Cricetulus griseus: one gene and its partner. The protein of the gene in region 2 interacts with the protein of the main gene of each other region in a pairwise test. Links are inferred from orthologs where the notes say so. Each region holds a gene or a part of one and is shown on either strand. Other genes may lie near its edges.

Region 1 (10,532 bases), on a different chromosome or scaffold from region 2:
ATGAGCCTCCCTAAACTCACTGGGCCTGGCTTAACTTTCTCATACCTACTCAGGGCCAAGTGAAGGCCATGCTCTGCCAGCTGCTCTTGCTAGCTCCATAGGACAGAGTTGCCTGGGTTGGCACTGTGGATGCTGCTGTAGCTGTTGACTTTCCATACACCACACCTGGCTGTTGGGGAACTTCCTGACTGGGCAAACCATCTCTACCCCTAGTATAACCTTTTGCTGGGGGAAACTGTACTCTCCTTAGTGTGTGTGTGGGGGGGAGGTTGTTACTCAGCCTTGGGACAGTCTTGATCATTGTCACCTATATTGTTCCATCATAGTGTGCTCCTCAGGCTTTACAGCCATCCAGAAGTCCCTCAGCACACGTTTTCCTTAAGAACTCCAGCTTGACACAAATCTTACCACATTTTCTGAGTAATGCAGCCAGCCCTTTCCCCCCACCTTGCTCTTCTACTGCCTCCTCTATATTGCTGTCTCACTTTACAAATTCTCTTACACACTAGTCTAAGTCACTGGGGTCTGTCAAAGCCTGTTCTACTTTATGAAGATCTTGCCCCACCAAAGGGCTCAGCAAAGCCACTAGAGGTCCAAACCAGCCTCAAGGTCCCTGCTGGGTCAGCCTTTTAACTCCTCTGTGAACACAGTTCTATCTAGCCCAGGAACCTGGGTTCCAACATGACTTCTCTTATTCCTAGTGACCTCAATAGTGTCTGCCCTTCCTCTATGGTCCTCCAGCCCCTGATATTTGTGGAGACTTCAGAGCAAGATAACCAAGTGCTCCTAATGATTCTGATAAGTCAGTCCATCAGGGACTCATTTCCTGCACACTGTGGCAGGTCATACAGCCTTGGCCTTAAGGAGGGATGGGAAGTTATATCACTCAATCTTCCTGCCTCAACTGATCCCACCCACTCCCATGTCCCATAACTTCTCAAGCCAGCTTGAGACAGGCTCTTCCACTGCTTGTTCAGAAGTCTTCTCTAATTCCAGAAGCTCAAGGATCGAGTATTTCTTGCTCACACTAGTTTCTTGCATTGGACCATGGTTAACGCCCTGCATGCTGGATTACACACAGATTTCCCCTCGTTTTCTATAAAAGGTTGGGCTTGAAGGGAATCTTTCATTGCTTTTATCACTTTTATCTCATCCTCTTGTTTATCTAATTTAGTTGCCAAATCTGAGGCTAACAGGAAGGATGGTAGCCACACCTCCCTTTCTTATTGCATTTGCAATAAGATTATTACACAAACCAGCTCCTGCTTGGCCACTGTCTCCCCTTCAGACACATTTCTAACTACATATACAACCTCTGCCACTGCTTACCGACAGTCTCGACTCTTGGATGCTAATCTCAAAGACTACAATATTTCCCCCTAACCTTTAACTTTCTCAGGGCACCTCCATATTCACGTGGTGGACCCCGGCTCATCAAGCAGGCATGCCACCCACACCACACAGGCGAATGCTGCAATTCCTCCCACAGACACTCCTAATCCTGATGGCTCAGCCTTAGCTGCATGTCTCACTATCCAGAGCAAGAACTATGCAACCGCTGTCATAGCACAGAGGCACACTAACACACAGAGGAAAGGATGACTCTATGGGAATTTTCCTGGCGAACGCTCCCCCATCAGGCTTCTCAGCCTCAGCTGTGTGCCTGACTACCCATAGCCAGAACCACACAGTCACTCCTCTCCAAATCATATTCGTTTCCGACATGTCCATGTTCAGGTGTCAATTACATTGTGTGACAAAACTTTTCCTAGGGAGACACAATACACAAGGCTACTTACCAAGCAGGTATCCCAAGCAGACCAAAGAACAGATACCACCGAAGCCCAACTTGGCAAATGAATGAGTTTTATTGTGGTTACTTACAGGATTATGGATGTGGGGTTACGTACAGGAGCAGAAAAAACTCAAAGATAGCTGTGTCACCAAAGTCTACCCTACATGGATGACAGCTCACAAAGCTGGGAAGCTGGAGCACACTGCACAGTTAGCTCAAGGGGTTGTAGAGTGTCCTCTCCAGGTGCCTCAGTTGGTCTAAACCTTTTCCAGGCAGATTTGACTTACGATTTCTGTTTCTTCCAGACAACTGGCTGGTCTGAGTTATCTTGCAGCTCAGCTCCTTTGACACTCTTCCTGGGAGCTCAGCATAAGAGTCTCAGCTCTTATTGTTTACTCTGGCAGGGAGGGGCCAAGTGAGTCTGGTCAGTTTCAGGGACTTCCTGAAGCTATTTCCAGTCGTTTCCCAGACTCTACCAGAGGAAATGTTTCAATCTTGGAGGAAACTGTTAACAGCAAAGCCTCAGGCCAAAAAGGCCAACCCAAGGGTAGCCAAGGGGTGGCTTTGTGTCTCTGTCCCTGCTTAAATGGGTGGTGACTAGGGGGACCCATTTGGGAGTGAGAATCCATCCTGAAGGATCCTGCTTTGTGCCCATTCTACAAGCTGCCAACCAGGAACCACGTGGTCAAGAATCCCTTCTGCATTCAGAGGTTTCCTCAGGAGGCTCCCAAACTCCAGAGCTCACTCCCATAGTCACAATCTTCTCTCCCCCTGCCTGAAATCCTTCTTGACAGGCCCTACTCTCTGGCAACCCCACAGCCCCTTTTTCTCCTGCTTCTAGCCAACCCTAGAATCTGTGGTTTACCTCAAAATCCCAGAATCAGTTCTGTTCTTTCCCATACTCAACAGTATATCCATTTGTAGACAAAGGAACCAAGGCACAACAGTGGCCAGGAATGAGGGGGCCTCAGGCTGACTTCCCCCCGCCCTAGCAGCTCTTTTCCAGCAGCTTTGGAAAGAAGGCGATCCTCTGCTCCCTCTTTTTATTTTTCCACAAGTCTTTTTGAAAATACATTCTAAAATATTTGCCAGTGTAGGAGAAATACATTTATTCAGACAGGAATGGAAAAAAAAATGCTGTTAGCAGTTTTTCCATGGAGGCTTCCAGCCCACAGCAGTCTCTCTATAAATACTCCTACCCCAACCTGCCTCAATTATCTACTCTATTATAATAATGAAATAAAGCAGATAGAAAAATGTGAAATGCTAACACTCTTGGACAGCTTGAAGAGACTGGCTGAGATGGCAGAGGTGGATAAGATCCAATTGGCATGTGATAGACACACAGGTCGCTAAGAGATGAACAGCTATGGAGGAACCTTGGACAAAGAGGGCACCCTCTGGATACAAATAGTACCCCCTGGACATGGAGGGGTACCCCCTGGACACGGAGGGTACTCCCTGGACACGGAGGGTACCCCCTGGACACAAAAGGCACTCAGACTTAGCTCTCCTTGCTCTTCCTCAGGAGCAGGACTCTCTGGCCCACCAGCTTCCAGCTTTCTCCAGATGTGGGACTTCAAAGGAGTGACTAGCCTGCTCTGAGCTCCTGTTTCCTCCTTGGAGACACAAGCATGGTAACATACCTGCTCCATAGCACCATCATGAAGACAGTGCCTTTGATAGCAGACATGAAGGTAGCAGGCAGTGACAAATCTACCATTTCCATTCAGGGAGACCTGAGGAAAAGCCAGGTCTATGATTCTTGCCTTGGAGCTGTTCCTGCAAAGTGCCTGGCCTAACTCAATCCAGTTGATGTTTATTTGAGGGAAAGGGCAATGTGACCTCTTACTGTTATAATAGATACCCCACAAACAGCCCCACTGTGGTTCCTTTAACTGCCTTCCTCAGCTAGTCAGTGGCCACGCAGCCCACCACAGCCTGGTTTTCTAATTCTCAGAGAGTACTCTCTACTCACCGTGGTGTCCCTCATTCTTGCCATCGCCTTTCTGCCATTTCCCAGCTGCTCCTGTAGACTGGAGAGCCAAGAAGCAGGTGGACCACTCACTGGTTTGTAAGGTTTGACCTCCTGGAGCAGGTAAGGACGAGCACAGTCTTCACCAGTACTGACCTACATTCTAGAGAGTTCCCAAGACAGGAAGGCAAAGCCCTGCAACCAAGAGCTGATTCTACTGTACAGTATAGGTAGGAGCTCCAGATGACATGGCGCTAAGGAGTGAGTAGGGGCTCAATCCCAGGGCCACCCTGGAGGAAGAGAATGTGGGGTACAGTATGAAAAAGACAGAATAGAAATGGAGAAAGAACCACCCCATGGAGGTTAGGCTGTCACAAATTTCAAGGTATGAGACAGGGATAGGATGACAGTCCCAAGGGTGGAAAAACAATAAGCCATGGTGAGCCACAAGGAACAAGGCCATCTACCACATCTGATGGCCTGGATTCAGCTGCCCAGAGCTGGGGAGTCAGCACCTCACTTCCTCCCTGCCTGATGGAGAGGATGTAGAGGGGTTAACTAATCTGCTGGGCCCAAAAGGGACTCCCCTGCCTAGGTCTCACCCAGAATTCGCCAGGGACTGGAAAGGGGATTTCCCTTTACAGGGCCCTTCCTCAGCCTTAGGATCAAGAACTACTTGGCTGGGGTGCCCCCACCTCTTCCCAGGTTTAAGCATACACTCAAGGACAAAAAAAAAAAAAAAAAAATGGGGACACATAGAGAGGGTTTCCCAGGGGCTATCCCTGGGTTCAAGAAGACCACTGGCAGGCAGATCTCTGTGAGTAAAAGGCCAGCCTTATCTACAGAGTGAGTTTCAGGACAGCCAGGGCTACACAGTGAAACCCTGTGTCGAAAAACAAAACAAAAAATAAAGTAAAATATTTTTTTAAAAAGCCGTAAAAAAAGAAGCAGTAGCACTGGAATAGGATGGGACCAAAGAGCATCTTCCTTTCAGGCGCTTCATCAAGTGTTTCCACATTTGTTGTCCTTTTGTTGTTGTTGTTGTTGCCACTGAGTATCATCTGGGCCAACATGAGAAAGTGGCCCAGGTCACCAGGCCGGAAATGGAGGAAGTTAACGCAAGATTTCCCACAAATCAAAGCCAGGGCTCTTGATTAAAAACACACCAGAATCCTCTGCAACCTTAGGAGTTTCAAAATCAAACTCCCTCCCGTCAAGCAAAGGTTGCAGAGCTGCATAACTGACAACGTGAGAAGTCCGTAATTGCACTACCAGAGGAGCAGGAGCTCGGTCATCCTCCGGTGTCAGGTTCCAGATTTGTCACCTCGCCCGAGACCGGATCTGGTCCGAGCCCTCCTCCCCGGGACCCGCTACCGGAACACCGAGCCGGAAGGAACGTGGCGGTCCCCGTGGCAGCGCCTAGCCGGGGTAAGGCCATGCCCCCCATCCGTCCGCACCAGGCCAGGCGAGCCGGGCGCGGCCGGGGAAGCCGCTACGTCACCACGCTGTCCGCTGGGAGCCCGCCGGGCCAGCCAGGATTCCATTACATCACCCAAGCCGCGCTGTAAACACCGCTGCCAGCCATTGGCTGCCGCGCCACCCTCCCAGCCAATAGCAAATCGTCGTCGAGCCAACGCTTCCTTTGGCTACAGTGTCTGCAAATAGACGTCATTGCCCGGGTGGGGGTGGCCTGGCCCGGGGATAAGGCGGGTGGGTGAGGGTGTGTGGAAATTTGCAGCTGGGTTGGTTTGGAGACTTGGCATCCAAATCTGTTCCAGCCACTCCCGAGAGGCACGGAGTGCGATTAAAGGTGAATGCCCTCAATTCTTAGGCCCTTTTCCGTTAGACCCAAACAAGCCCTGGTGCAAAAATGAAGTTAATTGCTGGGCGTGGTAGCACAAACAAGTCTGTGATAATCAGCATTTGAGAGCTGGCCAGCCTGAGCTTACAAGAAACCCTGCCTCGAAGAAAAGCAAAACAGAAGGGCTGGAGAAACGGCTCAGCTGTCGAAAGCGCTGGCTGCTCTTGAAGAGGACATGGGTTTTGGGTCCTCACAACCCTTCTGGATTCCAGTCCACGAGCTCCAACGCCCTCTTGAACCTCAGGCATGTACGTGGTGCACATACATATATAAGCAGGCAAAACTCTCACACATATAAAATAAGATTTTAAAGTTTGTATTTTTTTTAAAGCAAAACAGCCAAAAGTACCACAACTTGGAAGAAGGGAGAAGAAAGAAATGAGAGATGACGAGGTACAGAAAGGTGGAACATGCTTCCGGGAATGCTCAGGGCAAAGCCCTGTGAGAAGACACCACAGAGAACAAAAAAGAGACTCTTTTCCACCCAGGATGTAGTCAGAGCTCAGTTTAGGAGCCTGGTGTCCAACAATTTTGTAAGTAGCCAATGAGTGTCGTTTTATCGCTCAGGCTTCTCCAGAAAAGCAGATGCCGTAGCACATAATCAGCTATCAGTAGCCTCATAGTCCCAGAGGTGGGAAAACAAGATAAAACTACACCTGTTATACAGAGGTTTTTTCCCCCTGTCACTATACCCTAAATAATTGAGTATTACAATAATTCACATAATACTTATCACACTAGACATTATCAGTTCGCGGAGCTTTAAAGTATAAAGAAGAGCCAGGTGTGGTGTTTTGTAATCCCAGCTCTCGGGAGGCAGGGAAAAGAGGATCTTGAATATGAAGCCAACCTGGGCCATACAGTAAGACTGTCTTAAACCCTAAATAATTATAGGGGAGAATGTGTATGTGGTACATGCGAATGTCACACTCTTTTACATAAGGAATTTAACCCCTCATATCCTGGCATCCTGGGGGAGTCCTAGGATATCCCCAATGGATAGCAGGGAATCTCTGACTATAGAAATGTAGAGAAATGTCTCGGGAAATTGGGGAACCAAGAATGCCCAAATCTGCTGTATGCACACAGGAAGCCTAGGGAAGCCAGAACAGAGAACAGAGAACATCCCAGTGTGAGTGGAGGACCAGGAGCTTCCTGTGGAACGTGAATGCCTGAGCTCACGATGAGAGTGAGCTCCTGTTCCCCTGCACATTTCTGCTCTGTTCAGGCTCTCCGTGGATCAAGTATCTGCTTGCTGAATGCTATCTTTTTAAATCTTTTATTTATTGTTTATAGTGTGTGCATGTATATGGTGTGTATGGGAGGAAGAGGGAGGTAAGGAGGGAAAGTTCAGGCATGTGCATGTCACAGTACAAGTGGAGGTCAGAGGACAACTTTAAAGAGTCCGTCGCTTCTCGCTTCATCCACATGTTGAGACAGGATCTCTCTTGCTTCTGCCACTATACAGCATACTCCAGTCTAGCTAGTTGGAAGGCTTCTGGCTGCTGCTCCTGTTTCTACCTCACATCTTGCTGTGGGGTGCTGGGGTTACAGATGTGTGCTACCCGTCCATCTTTTTACATTGATTCCAGGAATTGGACTCAGGTCCCAGACTTGTGTGGTCACACCTTCACTGGCTGAGCCATCTCACCAGCCCACTGAAGGCAATTTTGACCCAGTCTAACCATTCAAATGCTGTTACCTTCCAAAAACATCCTCTTGCACACCCAGAAATAATGTTTCACTAGCTATCTGGCAATGCCTTAGCCTCTGATCAGGTTTGTAGTTGGATTTTTTTTCTGCTTCACCCCATCCCACTGGACTTGTTTCTCTCCTGCCCTCTGGGTCCCCAAATCCACTTATGAAGAAATACTCTGAGGCTTACTTAATATTAAATATAATTGTTTGGCCAATGGCTCAGACATATTACTGGCTAGCTCTCTCTTATAAATTAACCCATTTCTATTAATCTGTGTATGACCACAAAGCTGTGGCTTACTGGTAATGTTCTGGCATATTATTCCTACAGTGGCTACATGGCATCTCCCTGACTCTGCCATCTTTTTCTCCATAACTCTGTTTGGATTTCCCGCCTAGCTATATTTTTCCTGGCCATTGGTCAAATCAGCTTTATTTATCAACGCATATTTGCAGCATACAGAAGGACCTCCCATATCACAGGTTGGCACATTAAAACTAACTATGGCAATAATAAAAAAAGAAAATATGGGAGGTCAAGTTATTTAACTGCAAGTTATTATTTAGAGAGGGATACAAAAGTGTTCCTCTAGCGAAGCAGTTGTTTGTTTGTTTGTTTCTGAGACAGAATCTCTATGTAGCCTTGGCTGGCCTCAGTCTCACAGAGAGCCACCTGCTTCTGCCTTCCAAGTGCTGGGATTAAAGGTCACCATGTCCAGCCTGAAGCAATTTTTAAACAGAGGGGACTTTGTCTGATTCCAACCAGAGGAAACAGGACATGGGAAAGCCAGAGGCGGGACAGATTCTAGTTCCTTAAAGACACTGAATAAGCCAAATGACCAGAGCATGGTGGAAAGAGAGGGAAATAGTGAGAGAGCTACCCAGGGAGGAAATCCTGCTGGACCATGCAGGATTGTGCCAGGTGCAGTACTGACAGCTTTCCTTGCTTTCTATCTTTCACTGGCACTATAAGGTGAGCACTGCTTTGGTATTTAAGAAACCATGGCCCCAAAAGGCTGTCACACCCTGAGAAGTAACAGGGCAGGGTTCACATACGAGCCCCTGGGGCCTCACAGGCAACTGTGGCTGCTGTTGCCTCCTAGAGAGGAAGCTGAGTCGGTTACTTCTGACTTCCATGTCTTACTACAGAGCTGGGGCCAAAAAGAAAAAAAAAGTAATACTTGCTCTATAGGTGTCACCATGTTATAAAAACAAGACCTCTGGATGATTGCAGAGGAAGTTCAGTCATTAAGAGCACTGGCTGTTCTTCCAAAGGACCAAGGTTCAATTCCCGCACCTGCATGGCAGCTCATGACTGTGTGTACATTCAATTCCAAAGAATTCAGCAGCCTCTGCATAAATTGCATGTACACACATCCAGACTGTCTTAGTTAGAGTTTCTATTGCTGTGAGGAAACACTGTGATCAAAAGCAACTTGGGGAGGAACCTAGAAGCGGGAGTTGAAGGAGAGGCCGTGGAGAAGTGGTGCTTACTGGATTGCTCCTCATGGCTTACTCATCCTGCTTTTTTATGGAACTCAGAACTACCCCCACCAGGGGTGGCATCTCCCACAAAACACTGCCCTCCCCCATCTATCACTAATTAAGAAAATGTGCCACAGGCTTGCCTATAGACCAATCTGGTAGGAGTATTTTCTCAATTAAGGTTTCTTCTTCCCAAATGACTCTAGCCTGTGTCAAGTTGACATAAAAACTAGCCACCACCTCAGGCGCAAAACACCCCCACACCCCCACACACATACACTTTTTTTTTTTTTTTAAGGAAACAGAAAAAAGAGACATGGGGGAAAGAGTGTCTAGTTCAGACGACACTGGGGTAGAAACGATTCATGGCTCTGACCAGCAAGGGGCACTCTGGAGGCTGTGGGAAGACTGACCTGCTGGCAAAGGTGATTAACTGGATCTCTGTGCTGTCCTGGGTTGCCAAGAAATGGTGTTCCTACTGCTCTGAGCCGTGGAGCCAGCTCTGGTTACTGCTGACAGGCCCCTCAGGAGAGTGCCAGAGGCCTACATCCTTCCACGTCCTTCCCGTGCAGGCAGTGTGGTGGTTCCCCTTAGGGAACCTGTGGGGCCGTGTCAGTACACTGAAAATCCAGGACCTCTAAACTCCCAAGGAAGGTACAGACTACTGAACAGTTCTGAGCAGGAACAGGGTCTGGGAGTGGGCGGATGCAGGAGATGGGAGAGAGGCCTGCCCTCTCCCTGAGGAGCTATACCCCCAGCCTTATTTATTTATTCTGTGGCCCTGGGGGTTAAATCCAGGGTTGCTCACATTCTAGCCTATTGCTCTACCTCTCAGCTATATCCCCAGTCTCTTTCTTTATTTTCCATTTGGGAATGGAGTCTATACTGGTTCTGGAGACTGGTATAGAACTTTCTCTGCAGCCCAGGCCAGCCTTAGATTCCAATGCCCCTGCCTTAGCTTCATGAGTAACTGGGATATATCACCAGGCCTGGAAGATACTAAAAGAATCAGATATGGGTGATCATAATCATGGTTTTTTGGTACTGGGAATGAAATCCAACTCACCTTGAACATAATAAGACCTGGTGGTCTTTAATAAAAAGTCCAGCCATGGATCGCTAAGGGAAAAGGCTTAGTGACTGGTCCCCTGAGGCTGTGTTTGGCTCTACCCTCTCCAGTGGGCATAAGAGTGTGTGGGTACCTCCTTGTGTCTGAGGAGGGGTCAGCACAGCAGTGACACAGTGGTCTATGGTGAATGGCATGGAACAGCTCTGGGATTCTGCAGCCTAAGCCTCTGCCTGCCCCTACTAGGATAGAGATCTCTTCACCCGGTTTCTTAGGCTCCCCTTCCTCTTCACTCAAGAGGCCTTGGCGGAAGACCCAGGAGAGCAGAGTGCCCAGATGTGCCAATAGCATCAAAGAGGGGAAGACCTGGCTGTCAGCCTTCCAGAAGGCTGAGGTGGACTAAGAGTGGCTCCCCATAGCCACAGCTGTGCAGGTTAAGCAAGATGATCCGCCAGGCACTCACGCCATAAATGCCCAAACATTGGAGCCACTTTAGGACTGTTTCCTGTAGGCCAGGCAGGGCCACCTCCCAGAGAGGGCTGGGGAACCTGAGCTATGGCAGGCACTCAGGTCACTTTGGAAGCATCGAATGGTCAGCTGATGGTGCTGGGGACTATTCCACATGCCTTCAGCCCATTCTGCTGAGCCATGA
Region 2 (10,710 bases):
AACACTAGTTCCAGGAAGCCAAGGCTACACAGAGAAACCATCTCAAAACAAACAAACAAAAAAACCCACCACCACCAAAACCCCCTGAAACATCTTCATGGTGGTTTGAGAGCAGGAGGCTGCCGGGTGGGGATGAGGCCGCCTTACCCTTCTTTCTCTAAGATGACCTTCCTCTCATAGTCCTTCAGGTACATGGGCTGCATTTTCTTCTGCTTCTCTGAGGCTGCTGGCTCCTCCTCACTCTCAGAAGACGAAGTTTCAGCTGTGGGACAGTGAGAAGATACCTGCTGCCCCCAACTTCCCTCTTCCGCTGGCAGAGAATCCCACAGGCAGGATGGGAGCAGAAGTTAAATTCTAAACCCTTGCCAGCTACTTCGAGCTGTAAAACAGTAAATCATCCTACTCTACCCTTTATTTTTCCAGGGACACAGTATAATATAGCCCAGGCTAGACTAAACCTCAGTCAAGCAATCAAAGTCTTTAGGTACAGATATAGCTAAACTGACAGTGTTTGCCTAGCAAGCCCAAGACTCTTTGTTTAGTTTCAGTTATGTGACACACACTTGTAATCCCAGCATTTTGGAGGGTGGAGGCAGGGAGATCAGAAGTTCACATTCTTGGCTACATAGTAAATTAGAGGCTAGTTCTAGGCCACATGAGAAGCTATCTCAAAAAAATAAAATAAAAAAGCATTTCTGACCTGGTATTTTAAACTTAGGAATTCACAGAAATCACAGAGAGGGCTTCTTTTTTGTTTTGTTTTGTTTTGTTTTTCAAGACAGGGTTTCTCTGTAGCTTTGGAGGCTGTCCTGAAACTAGCTCTTGTAGACCAGGCAGGTCTCAAACTCACAAAGATCTGCCTGCCTCTGCCTCCTGAGTGCTGGGATTAAAGTTGTAAGCCACCACCGCCCGGCTAGAGAGGGCTTTTTTGCTGATTTTCTTTCTTTCCTTTTTCTTTGTTTTTTGAGACAAGGCTTATCTGTGTAACTTTGGAGCCTGTCCTGGAACTTGCTCTTTAAACCAGGCTGGCCTGGAACTCACAGAGCTCTGCCTGCCTCCTGCTTCCCTAGCACTGGGATTAAAGGCAGGCAACACAATGTCCAGTTCTTGTGGATGCCAGAGGTCACCTTGCATGTGTCATTTCTCAATTGCCATCCATTCTTTTTTTCTTTTTGAATCAAGGTTCCTCTTGTGTGGCCTTGGCTGTCCTGGACTCCCTCTGTAGACCAGGTTGGCCTCAAACTCACAGAGACCCACCTGTCTCTGCCTCCTGAGTGATGGGATTATGGGCTATAGCCTACCACTCTGGTGTCTGTCACCTCACTTAGGATGGGAAACAATTCATTCAACAATTCAATTCCATTAATAATAAGGTAGAGAAGCAGCCCCCTCCCTACCTGTTCTCTGATAGAAGGTAGCATCTTTCTGGTAAATTCGGGGGTCCTTCTTCTTCAGCAAGGACAGAGTCCTGTAAAAGTCTCTCTCCTGCTGGGGATCAAATTCCTAGAGCAGGAAAAGGAGTGGGGCTGACTTCAGATGGTGGGCACAGTACGAGTAGGGGCTGGTGAGGAGGACAGGATACAACAGAGACCAGCAACCCTGAGGATTAAGTGTGTGTGTGGGGGGGACAAAGCGTGCAGATGAAGAGAAGCTCTGGGCCTGGGCAGGTGTGGCCAGAGGGCAGGAACTTGATAGGGTAAAGGAAGAGGAGCAGGGAAAGGAGGTAGGCAACTGAGCAGGTGCCCCTAGAGTGCTCTTGGGTGGACCACCAGAAGGCCCGGGCTACACATGATGAAGCCAACATTAGAGCTGCTGTGGGAAGACAGTAGTGCCCCACGTGGTCTAAGAGGCACTACAATGACAGATTCTGGATTTTAGGAATGGGAAGGGTGGTTCCTAGGGACAGAATGGTTGGACCACTAATCAGGGTAGTGGGTTCAATCTGTGCTGATGGAGGACAAGGTGTTCATAAAGCAGAGGGGTTATGACGACCCCCAGGGAAGGGCAGGGCATTGTCTGTCTCCTAAGGGATGGGGGAGGTGTCTTGGAACTTGTTATTCTTTTGTTTAAAAAGAAGAAAAGAGAAATATTGCTGAGACAGACATATAAGAAGAGTAACAGGGTAATGGCTGACTGCCATGGCCGGTCGCCATAGAGAGACAGAGCGGGGAAACAGAGAGAGGGGACAGAGAGCAGGAACAGGGGGGGAGAGAGAGAGAGCGCGAGCGTAAAGGGGCAGAGAGAGAGAGAGAGAGAGAGAGAGAGAAAGGTGCAGGGGCCTATCTTTTAAAGGGGTCCTCTGCACCTGCGTGCAGACTTCTTTCCCATGGAACCTTGGGCTGACCAGGGTATTGCCTGAGTGGATTCCACCAGGTAACAGGGGCAGGCCAGCATAATGCCTGAACCTTTCAGAACTACCTTAGGGCTCTACTGGGTTAGGGAAAGATTCCTTCTGCAAATTGGTGGGCGGTCTGGAGTCAAGTAGTGAGGATTTAGCGTCTCCTAGACATGGGGAGTGTATTGCTAGTAACTCAAGGGACTGGGGTGTGGGCCCTAATGTTCCTATAGGGGCCTACGTGATTAAGGTAAGGTGCTCTACCCTTGTGGGAAGGAGGGAGGATGCGCCAGTTCCTAGCTACAGGAGAATGCTGCTCGTTACTCAAGGGTGCAGGTCCTGGGATGTGCCTATGGGGCCCGAGGGGGTTAGGATCTGACTCTGCTGTGTATCTGAGTAAGGGTGCTGTGGAGGCTTGAGGCCAAGTTAGGAAAGTGGGAAGATTTAGCGACCACTGGGATGGAGCTGTCACTCAAGGTGTTAAGGGATAAATCTAGACCTATCCCCTTAGGGTAAGGCATCCCAGGGCACTCAGGTGAGGGGCTCAGTGGATGGGAGGCTTGAGGTCTCTGCCGGAAAGAAGGGTGCATTTTGCGATCCCTGGATTGGGGGGGATGCCTGTCATTCAAAGGATGGGGGCAGGACTTGAAGACTCCGGGACAAACTTGCCGGGTTAGGGAGCACCCCAACTACGCCTGGGTAAGATGGGGAGCCTGGTCGCGGAAGCTTACTTACCACATGCTCGTCGCTGGAGTCGGACTCGGAGCTGGAGTCGCTGCCGTCCGGATCCCCATAGCGATCCTTCACTGTGGGGTACACACGAGCTCCTCACAGCCACCCTCACCAGAGGCGCCCCCAGCCCCCCCGCCCGGCCTGCGCAGGCTCCCCTCACTCACGCCGCTGCAGCTCCTCACGCTCGCGGTAACGACTGTAGCGAGCGGCAAACGCGGCGTTCACCCGCAGGGAGGCAGACCCGTGCGGTTCCGGCATGGCGCCCGGGAGGCCTAGAGCGCACGCGCGCGCCCCTCCCGCGTGACCGCCTCTAGGCACGCCCAGCGAGAGCGTCTCTTAAAGGAGCAGGTCCCCTACGACTCGCCTGGCCCCACCCCCGACCCTTCCGGGACCCGGTTGGCCTTTTTTTGCTCGGCAGGCCGCAGCCACGGGCCAAGCCTCTGCGGGGAAAGGCCACAAGCCACCGCCCACCCTTCTCCACCCAGCCGCCTCCCGGCACCCAGCTGACATCTGGGGGCCCCTTTCTCCACTCGCGGTTTCCTGCCTCCCTTCCGTTCTGACAGCACCCGACCGCTGCCCCACCCAGCTCAGTTACCCGGACGCCCTGGGAATGACCATGTCGCCCCTTCACCCCACAGCTCCCACAACCACGCCATCCCCCAGTTTCATCCCACCCACGTCCTGGAACCAAATCAGAAGTCACCCTCACCGTCGTCATGCCTAAGTCTTAGCTTAATGAGCCAAAACATTAAATGATCACACAAAACAATTTCTTTCCATAAAGCAATAAATATATATATATTTCAAACTCTGTACAACAGACTGGAAAACAAGCTTCCAAGAAAAAAATTAACCCACACTATCTTTTTAACTGATTCGAAACGTTTTCCCCTCTCCCTCCCATGCCCAAAGTAGGTGGCTCACACTTAGGGCTCTCTGAGCACAGCCTTCCAAGGTCACCAGCTTCCAGGAGCTCAGGAGACGATGACCTCACTCTGAGGCTAGGGCTTTAAACCTCTGCCCTGAGGTCTCTGCGGCCAGGTGCAGGGAAAACTGAACCGTTTAGGCGGCTGTTGCCTGTAGGAGCCCCTGCTCTGTCCAACACACCAAACGGGGTGAGAAAAACACATGAGAAAGTCCCCCAAACACACTCACTCAAGAAACCAACACCAATAAACCACAAAATGCTCCTCCCACTCCCTTCTTCAATGGATGGGAATAAAGAGCGAAAGTTTCTTTTCTTCTCTGTTGACTTGTAACCCAGTGAGGCTCCTTGGCTGGAGACAGCGGCCCTGGGTCACATTGGGATCACCATGTGTCTCTGCAGGATGTCCATAAGGTTCTGATCTCCTCTCTGCTGGGCCAACTCCAGGGGGGTGAGACCCGAAGTGTCCCTGTGATGGAGGTCAGATTCGGGAGCCAGGAAGCTGACCACAGAGCTATGGCCCTCTTTTATTGCCAGATGGATGGGGAGTGACCCGGTGCCGTCCAGGGCATTGACATCAGCGCCATGCTCCACCAGGACCTTCAAGGTGTCCAGGAACCCAGTGCGAGCTGCATCATGCACTGGACTGGTACCAGAGGCATCTTGGACATTGGGGCTAGCACCTTGCTTTAGGAGTTCCAGAGCAACTGCTGGACTTCCAAACATCATGACCTATGGGGGTGGGGAACAGAAAGTCAGGAGGTTCCCACTGGAAAGTGGTCAAGCAGAAAGAGAGGTCTACCAGAAATCCAGAGTGCCAGTGAAGGGGCCCTTTAATGAACAGGGACACCCCAAGAGAGACAGGCCCCCAGGGAGCTGCTTGGGACCCCAGAAAACAGGTTCTTTGGAAATAAGGACCATACACACACACACACACACACACACACACACACAGAGAGAGAGAGAGAGAGAGAGAGAGAGAGAGAGAGAGAGAGAGAGAGAGAGAAAGAGAGATCATTTACCAATACAAAAGACTCTAACTCCAAAAGTGACTCTCATGAAAACTTTAAGGGGCCAGGCATAGTGACCACTCCTGTAATCCCTGCACTTGGGAGGACGAGCCAGAAAGATAGCCTCAAATTTAAGGCCAGCCTGATACAGAGTGAGACCTTGTCTCATAAATAAAAAAGTAATGAAGAAGAAAGAGAATGAAGGGAATGGGGAAAGGAAGGACAGGAAGGGAGGGTGAAAACTCTCAAGGATCCAAGAGCCTCCCTCAGGGACAGGGCACCCCCATATGGGAGATCACTAGAGCTGTTAAACCCCTCCAGACAATGCAACCTTGTTTTCTGAGAACTACTTAGAATTTTTGAGAAAAAAAAATGCTCTAGAGAATTTGGATCCCCTTTCTCTAGGGAAAAAATTTTTTTGTGTGTTTTTTTGTTTTTTTATTTATTTATTTTTTTCGAGACAGGGTTTCTCTGTGGCTTTGGAGGTTGTCCTGGAACTAGCTCTTGTAGACCAGGCTGGTGTCAAACTCACAGAGATCCTCCTGCCTCTACCTCTGCCTCTGCCTCCCTAGTGTTGGGATTAAAGGAGTGTGCCACCAACACCCTGCTAGGGAAAAGTTTAGACATAGGCATGATGTTCAGAATATATGTGCACCCATGAAAAAGTGGGACCCTGTACAAAGTCCACCCCAAATTATGGGGCCGTCAAGCAATAGGTTTTTTTTTTTTTTTTTTTTTTTTTTGTAACTGGGGCACTCAGAAGATTAAAAAAAAAAATCCACATCACTTTCAGAAATGAAGACTTCCCCCACCCCCAAATAACCAGAGACCCTTAAAAAGGACTCCTACAAAAAATAGCTCTATCCCTTGGAGGAGCATCCTACCTTCCTGAGATCGAATGCCTTCTTAGAGGCCCTCCCAAAATTTGAGCTGTCCGCAAAGACTGGAATGAAAAGAAGCTGAACCACAACCCACCCACGGAATAAAAGTCTGCAGCAAAACTGAATCTTTTAGGCTTGAAGACAAGGGATTCTTTAGAGCTGAAAAGTCATCCTCTCCCCGTGCCCCCCCCCCGCATTACCCCACCCAACATTGGTGCAAACAAGGAATGGTCCTCAAGGGGATCACCAAGCCGGGTCAGGAGACAAGGAAGGATGGGGTGTGGGCGCCGGGTGTCAGACAGGCCTCACCTGCAAGGCCGTCTTGCCAAAGCGGTTCAGAGCGTCAGGATGCACCAGCTCCCGGTGCAGAAGGCGGCGCACCTCTTGCACGTCGCCACGGGCCGCTGCGCCACTCAGCCGGTCGCCGACGCGGACTTCTTCCAGGAGCATCGTGACGCGGGTGGTCTGTGAAACCCACCCAGCCCCAAGCCCAGTCCAGGTCAAGGCTGTGGAACCAGCAAGGGCTGGATCGGAACACGAGGGCTTCCTTTCCCTGGGGCTGTGGCGACACTGGGGCCTACTCTACGGCTACTCCCCTGCCGCAGACCCTTGGCCCTCGGTCCCGCACGACCCCGGCTCTCGCACCCGGCTCCTCCCCCTGTCACCGTGAGAGGCCGCAGGGAACCCCGCCCAACCCTTGGGCACCCGCCCCTTGGGCCGGGTCTCCCCAGACTCACCCTCCCTCCTCCGCTGGCGCAGGCGGGGTCTGCTCTGAGCCGGCGCTCGCCGCCTCCCTAGACAGCCTCCAGTGGGCGGAGCTAGCGCGCCACAGGCCCCGCCCCACAGCGCCCTTGTTTTCTTACAAACTCGCTACAGAGTAGCGGGAGCCGGTGTGCCCAGCACCCGACCTCCATGCGTCCCGCCTACCGGCGACCTCAGCCAATCATCGTGCGTTACTGGGAAGGTTTGTCTCGCCCAGAGAGGTGGTGCATCTCGTGATTGGCCAGCGGGCGGCAACCGGTGTGGCTGCCCGCCACCGCAGGGGGTTTGGTTTTTCAAACCCGACTGGCGGGCGGCCGGGCGGGAAAGAGAGGGAAGACTTAACTGATCCCGGGAGAGGGGTTGGCTGGCGCAGGCTGATCTTGGGTCTTTAGCGCCTCCAGGAGGAATGGAGGGAGGGTTGGAAGCTCCCAGAACTCGAACGTTCGTTCTATTCATTTAGCTCTCTTACTATGCAACTGGGAACTTAGTTCATTCATTCGACTGCTGGGTTAAAGGGATGGACGCTGGGCGGTCAAGTGCGCGCTGTCTAACGATTTTTGTTTGCTTTAAATTTCTGAGACAGGGTCTCACTGTGTAGCCTTGGCTGGCCTGGAACTGTGTAGATCTGTCTGGCTTCAAACTCAGATAGCCACCTGCCTCTACCATCCATGCTGGGATTAAAGGAGGGGGCTCTAGTTTTTTTATTTTTTGTTTTTAAAGAAAGGGTCTTGGAGCTGCAAGATGGCTCAGCGGCCAAGAGCATTTGACGTCCTTGTAGAGAATCAAGAATTCAGTTTCCAACATCCAGGTCACAGCTCTCAGTTATACATAACTCCAGCTCCAAGGGATCCAACGCTCTTGACATCTGCACATATTACATAATAGACAAACACCCACATATTCACATGATTTTCTTTTTTTAAGTGTTTTGAGATAGGATCTTACTATGTAACTCTGGCTGTCTTAGAACTCACTATGTAGACCAGGCTGGCCTTGAACACAAACAGATCTGCCTGACTTTCCTAAATGCAGGGGATTGACGGTGTGTACCAGTACACCTGGCAATTCTTTTCTTTCTTTCTTTCTTTCTTTCTTTCTTTCTTTCTTTCTTTCTTATGTGCATTGGTGTTTTGCCTTCATGTATAGCTGTGTGAAGATGTTGGATCTCCTCAAACTGGAGTTACAGACAGTTGTGAGCTGCTACGTGGGTGCTGGGAATTAAAACCACATCTTTTGGAAGAGCAGCCAATTCTCTTAACCGCTGAGCCATCTCTCCAGCTCTGCAATTTTCTTTTAATTTTTTAAAAAGGGTATCACGTAGCCCAGGCTGGCCTCCAATTCCTTATGTAGCTAAGGATTATACACAAGCCTCCTGAATGCCACTCCCAAGTGCTATTACAGACTCAGTCCATGCAGTGCTGGGGGTGGAACCCAGGGCTTCATGGGTGCTCAGCAATGACTAACTGATCTATAGTCACAGCCCCTTAACAATTTTTATTGAGAGCCGGGCGTTGGTGACGCACGCCTTTAATCCCAGCACTAGGGAGGCAGAGGCAGGCGGATCTCTGTGAGTTCAAGGCCATCCTGGTCTCCAGAGGAATGCCAGGATAGGCTCCAAAGCTACACAGAGAAACCCTGTCTCAAAAAATAAACAAACAAACAAAAAAAAACCCAATTTTTATTGAGACAAGTTCTCAGCGTAAGCTGGCCTCAAAGTTACTAAATCTAGATTAACCTCAAACTCCTAATCCTGCCTTTACCTCTTGATTGCTGGATTACAGGTATATACCACCATGCCTGGCTTAATTTTGGACATTAAGCACCACACACTGAAATAGACTAAAGTTAGAAACTGTAGCTGGGCGTGGTGTTGTTCTCCTTTAATCACAGCATTTGGGAGGCAGAGACAGGAGGATCTGTTAGTTCAAGGCCAGCCTGATCTACAGAGCAAGTTCCAGGACAGCAGGACAGGCTCCAAAGCTACAGAGAAACCCTTTCTTGGAAAAAAAAAGAAGATAATTTAAAAGAAGAAAAAAAAAGCATAGGTGGTGAGAAAAGAACCTAGAAAAGTTCTAGCTCAGGTTAAGCAGTCCATTGCAGCTGGGCATTGGTGTTGCAGACCTTTAATCCCAGCACTCAGGAGGCAGAGGCAAGCGGATCTCTGTGAGTTTGAGGCCAGGCTGGTCTACAATTCAAGTTCTACAACAGCCGGGACTATTACACAGAGAAACCCTGTCTCAAAAACAAAAAACAAAACAAAACAAACAAACAAAAAAAACAAAAAAAAAACAAAAAACAAATCAAAAGTATTATACAATAGTAACCAGGCTGACTGAAGGGTCACTGCATTTGTGTAAAGGCCCTCAGGGTCAAAAGCATCTGGAATGATGTGGAAAAGTTAAGAGGAAGAGCAGGAAGGTGGGGAGGTGGAGTGATGTGCAGACCAAACCTGGGACTGCAGTAACTTTTTACTTTTAACTAGATGGGAAGGGCACCATTTAAGCAGGGCAATAATGTACTGACAGATTCCCCCCAACCCCAAACAGGGTTTCTCTGTGTAGCTCTTGTAGACCAGGCTGGGCTGGAACTCACAGAGATCTGCCTGCCTCTGCCTTCTGAGTGCTGGGACTAAAGGTGCCACCACCTGACAGGTTTTACAGCAACCTCCCAGTATCTACTGAGGGGATCAGAGTGACAGGGAATAAAGGGGAGGGTGCAGAGGACCTGGGGTGGAAAAAATGGACACGCCCATCTAAGCAGGTATGGTCATTCCCAGTCCATAGTCAAGAAGCACATTCACAGCTGTTAGATTTATTTTAATGACACCCTAAAACTCAGATAGAGGGCCAGCAGGGCCTTGGCTCAGCAGGTATAAAAGAGCCCTAGAGCTAGCCCAAGGCAGATCATTTCAAGAAGGCACTCATGGATGGGGAGGGCAGCTCAGACCCTCTTATTTCTTCATATAAAACCAGGATGGGAGAGCTCAAGGGTGGGGGACACAGAGAAACCAATCTAGACGGGTGAGAGGTACAGGGGGTTGTTGCAGCATGAATACACACACACACACACACACACACACACACACACACACACACACACACATCTAACCCCCACTTCTTCTCCCTTCTAGCTGGTACGAAGTTGATAATCTGCAGAAAAAAAATGAGCAGGGATTATCTGAGAATTGAGAAAGGGGAAAGAGAGAGTCCTCCAACACTCACAAAATCTATCCTGGGTCCTAACACATAAAATCACCCTTGGAAATATTTTACTATGCTTAGGGCTTACAGGCTTGGGTCATGGGGTGGCTGAATGATAGTTCCTACCTATCAGGTGTAAAGCCCTGGTTTCTATCCTATTGCCGTGCTTAGATCAAGATGGCTTCCACACAGACACCTCCCTCTGGTCAGCACGCCCATATCCAGGCAGCATATGGAGATCAGTATCCTGTTCAGACCTTATCATCACCTTGGAGCAGGCCAACCACCCCATTCTAAAGATGTATAAGCTGAAGCCCAAGGAAGCATGGTAAGGGTCTGCTTTGGGGCTAAGCATGCTTTAGTACTGTTGAAACATAGCATCAAAGTCATCAGTCCCCGTGTCCCCCATCTCCTTAAGCTCACTGTTTCAGAGAGCCCGGCTCTTACCCCCACTCTGGGTGATGTAGCGGACCCAGGGCAGGGCCTGGTATCCACTTTTCTCAATGATCTTCATGTAACGGACCTGGAAGGCAATAAAAAGGAGTGGCCAAGGATTAGGGAGGCAGCTCAGCAGTAGTGCTTCCTTCTGGAGTCACCTGTGAGGAACTGGGGTATGACCCATGGGAGAGTCCCTACCTAGCATGTCCAGTCCCTGGGTTCAATCCCATTATGGGGGAAGGGGGATATTAGGAGGGGGAGGTGACTAGAGGCAGAAGGAAAGTGACAAACCGTGTGAAGAGAAAACATGCAGGACACACTTAAGGATACAAAATAACACAAGCTGGGAGTCTCTGGGCATGACATGTGCAAAGAGGAAGTGATCCAGGCTAGTAGGAAAAAGGAAGTACAGAGGGAAGATACAGGA

Evidence for each region.
Region 1: the proteins of Cdkn2d (region 2) and Nr4a1 interact in binary tests that used the Homo sapiens proteins (3 or more experiments, as listed by UniProt). The two-hybrid records come from large-scale screens. The link is inferred for Cricetulus griseus from reciprocal best matches to the Homo sapiens genes CDKN2D and NR4A1.

Annotation. Positions count from the first base shown.
Region 1 is NC_048595.1:397,681,292-397,691,823, reverse strand, and holds the start of Nr4a1 (nuclear receptor subfamily 4 group A member 1), read right to left. Parts: upstream 5,155-10,532; 5' UTR 5,043-5,154; intron 4,905-5,042; exon of another isoform or gene 4,061-4,904; 5' UTR 3,774-4,060; intron 1-3,773. UniProt on the Homo sapiens protein: Orphan nuclear receptor. Binds the NGFI-B response element (NBRE) 5'-AAAGGTCA-3'. Binds 9-cis-retinoic acid outside of its ligand-binding (NR LBD) domain.
Region 2 is NC_048597.1:134,142,860-134,153,569, forward strand, and holds Cdkn2d (cyclin-dependent kinase 4 inhibitor D), read right to left. Parts: upstream 6,726-10,710; 5' UTR 6,621-6,725; intron 6,560-6,620; exon of another isoform or gene 6,349-6,559; 5' UTR 6,334-6,348; coding exon 6,193-6,333; intron 4,725-6,192; coding exon 4,365-4,724; 3' UTR 3,838-4,364; downstream 1-3,837. Other genes in the region: protein KRI1 homolog, read right to left, coding at 148-310, 1,398-1,503, 3,071-3,141, 3,232-3,325; Ap1m2 (AP-1 complex subunit mu-2), read right to left, coding at 9,772-9,794, 10,293-10,368. UniProt on the Homo sapiens protein: Interacts strongly with CDK4 and CDK6 and inhibits them.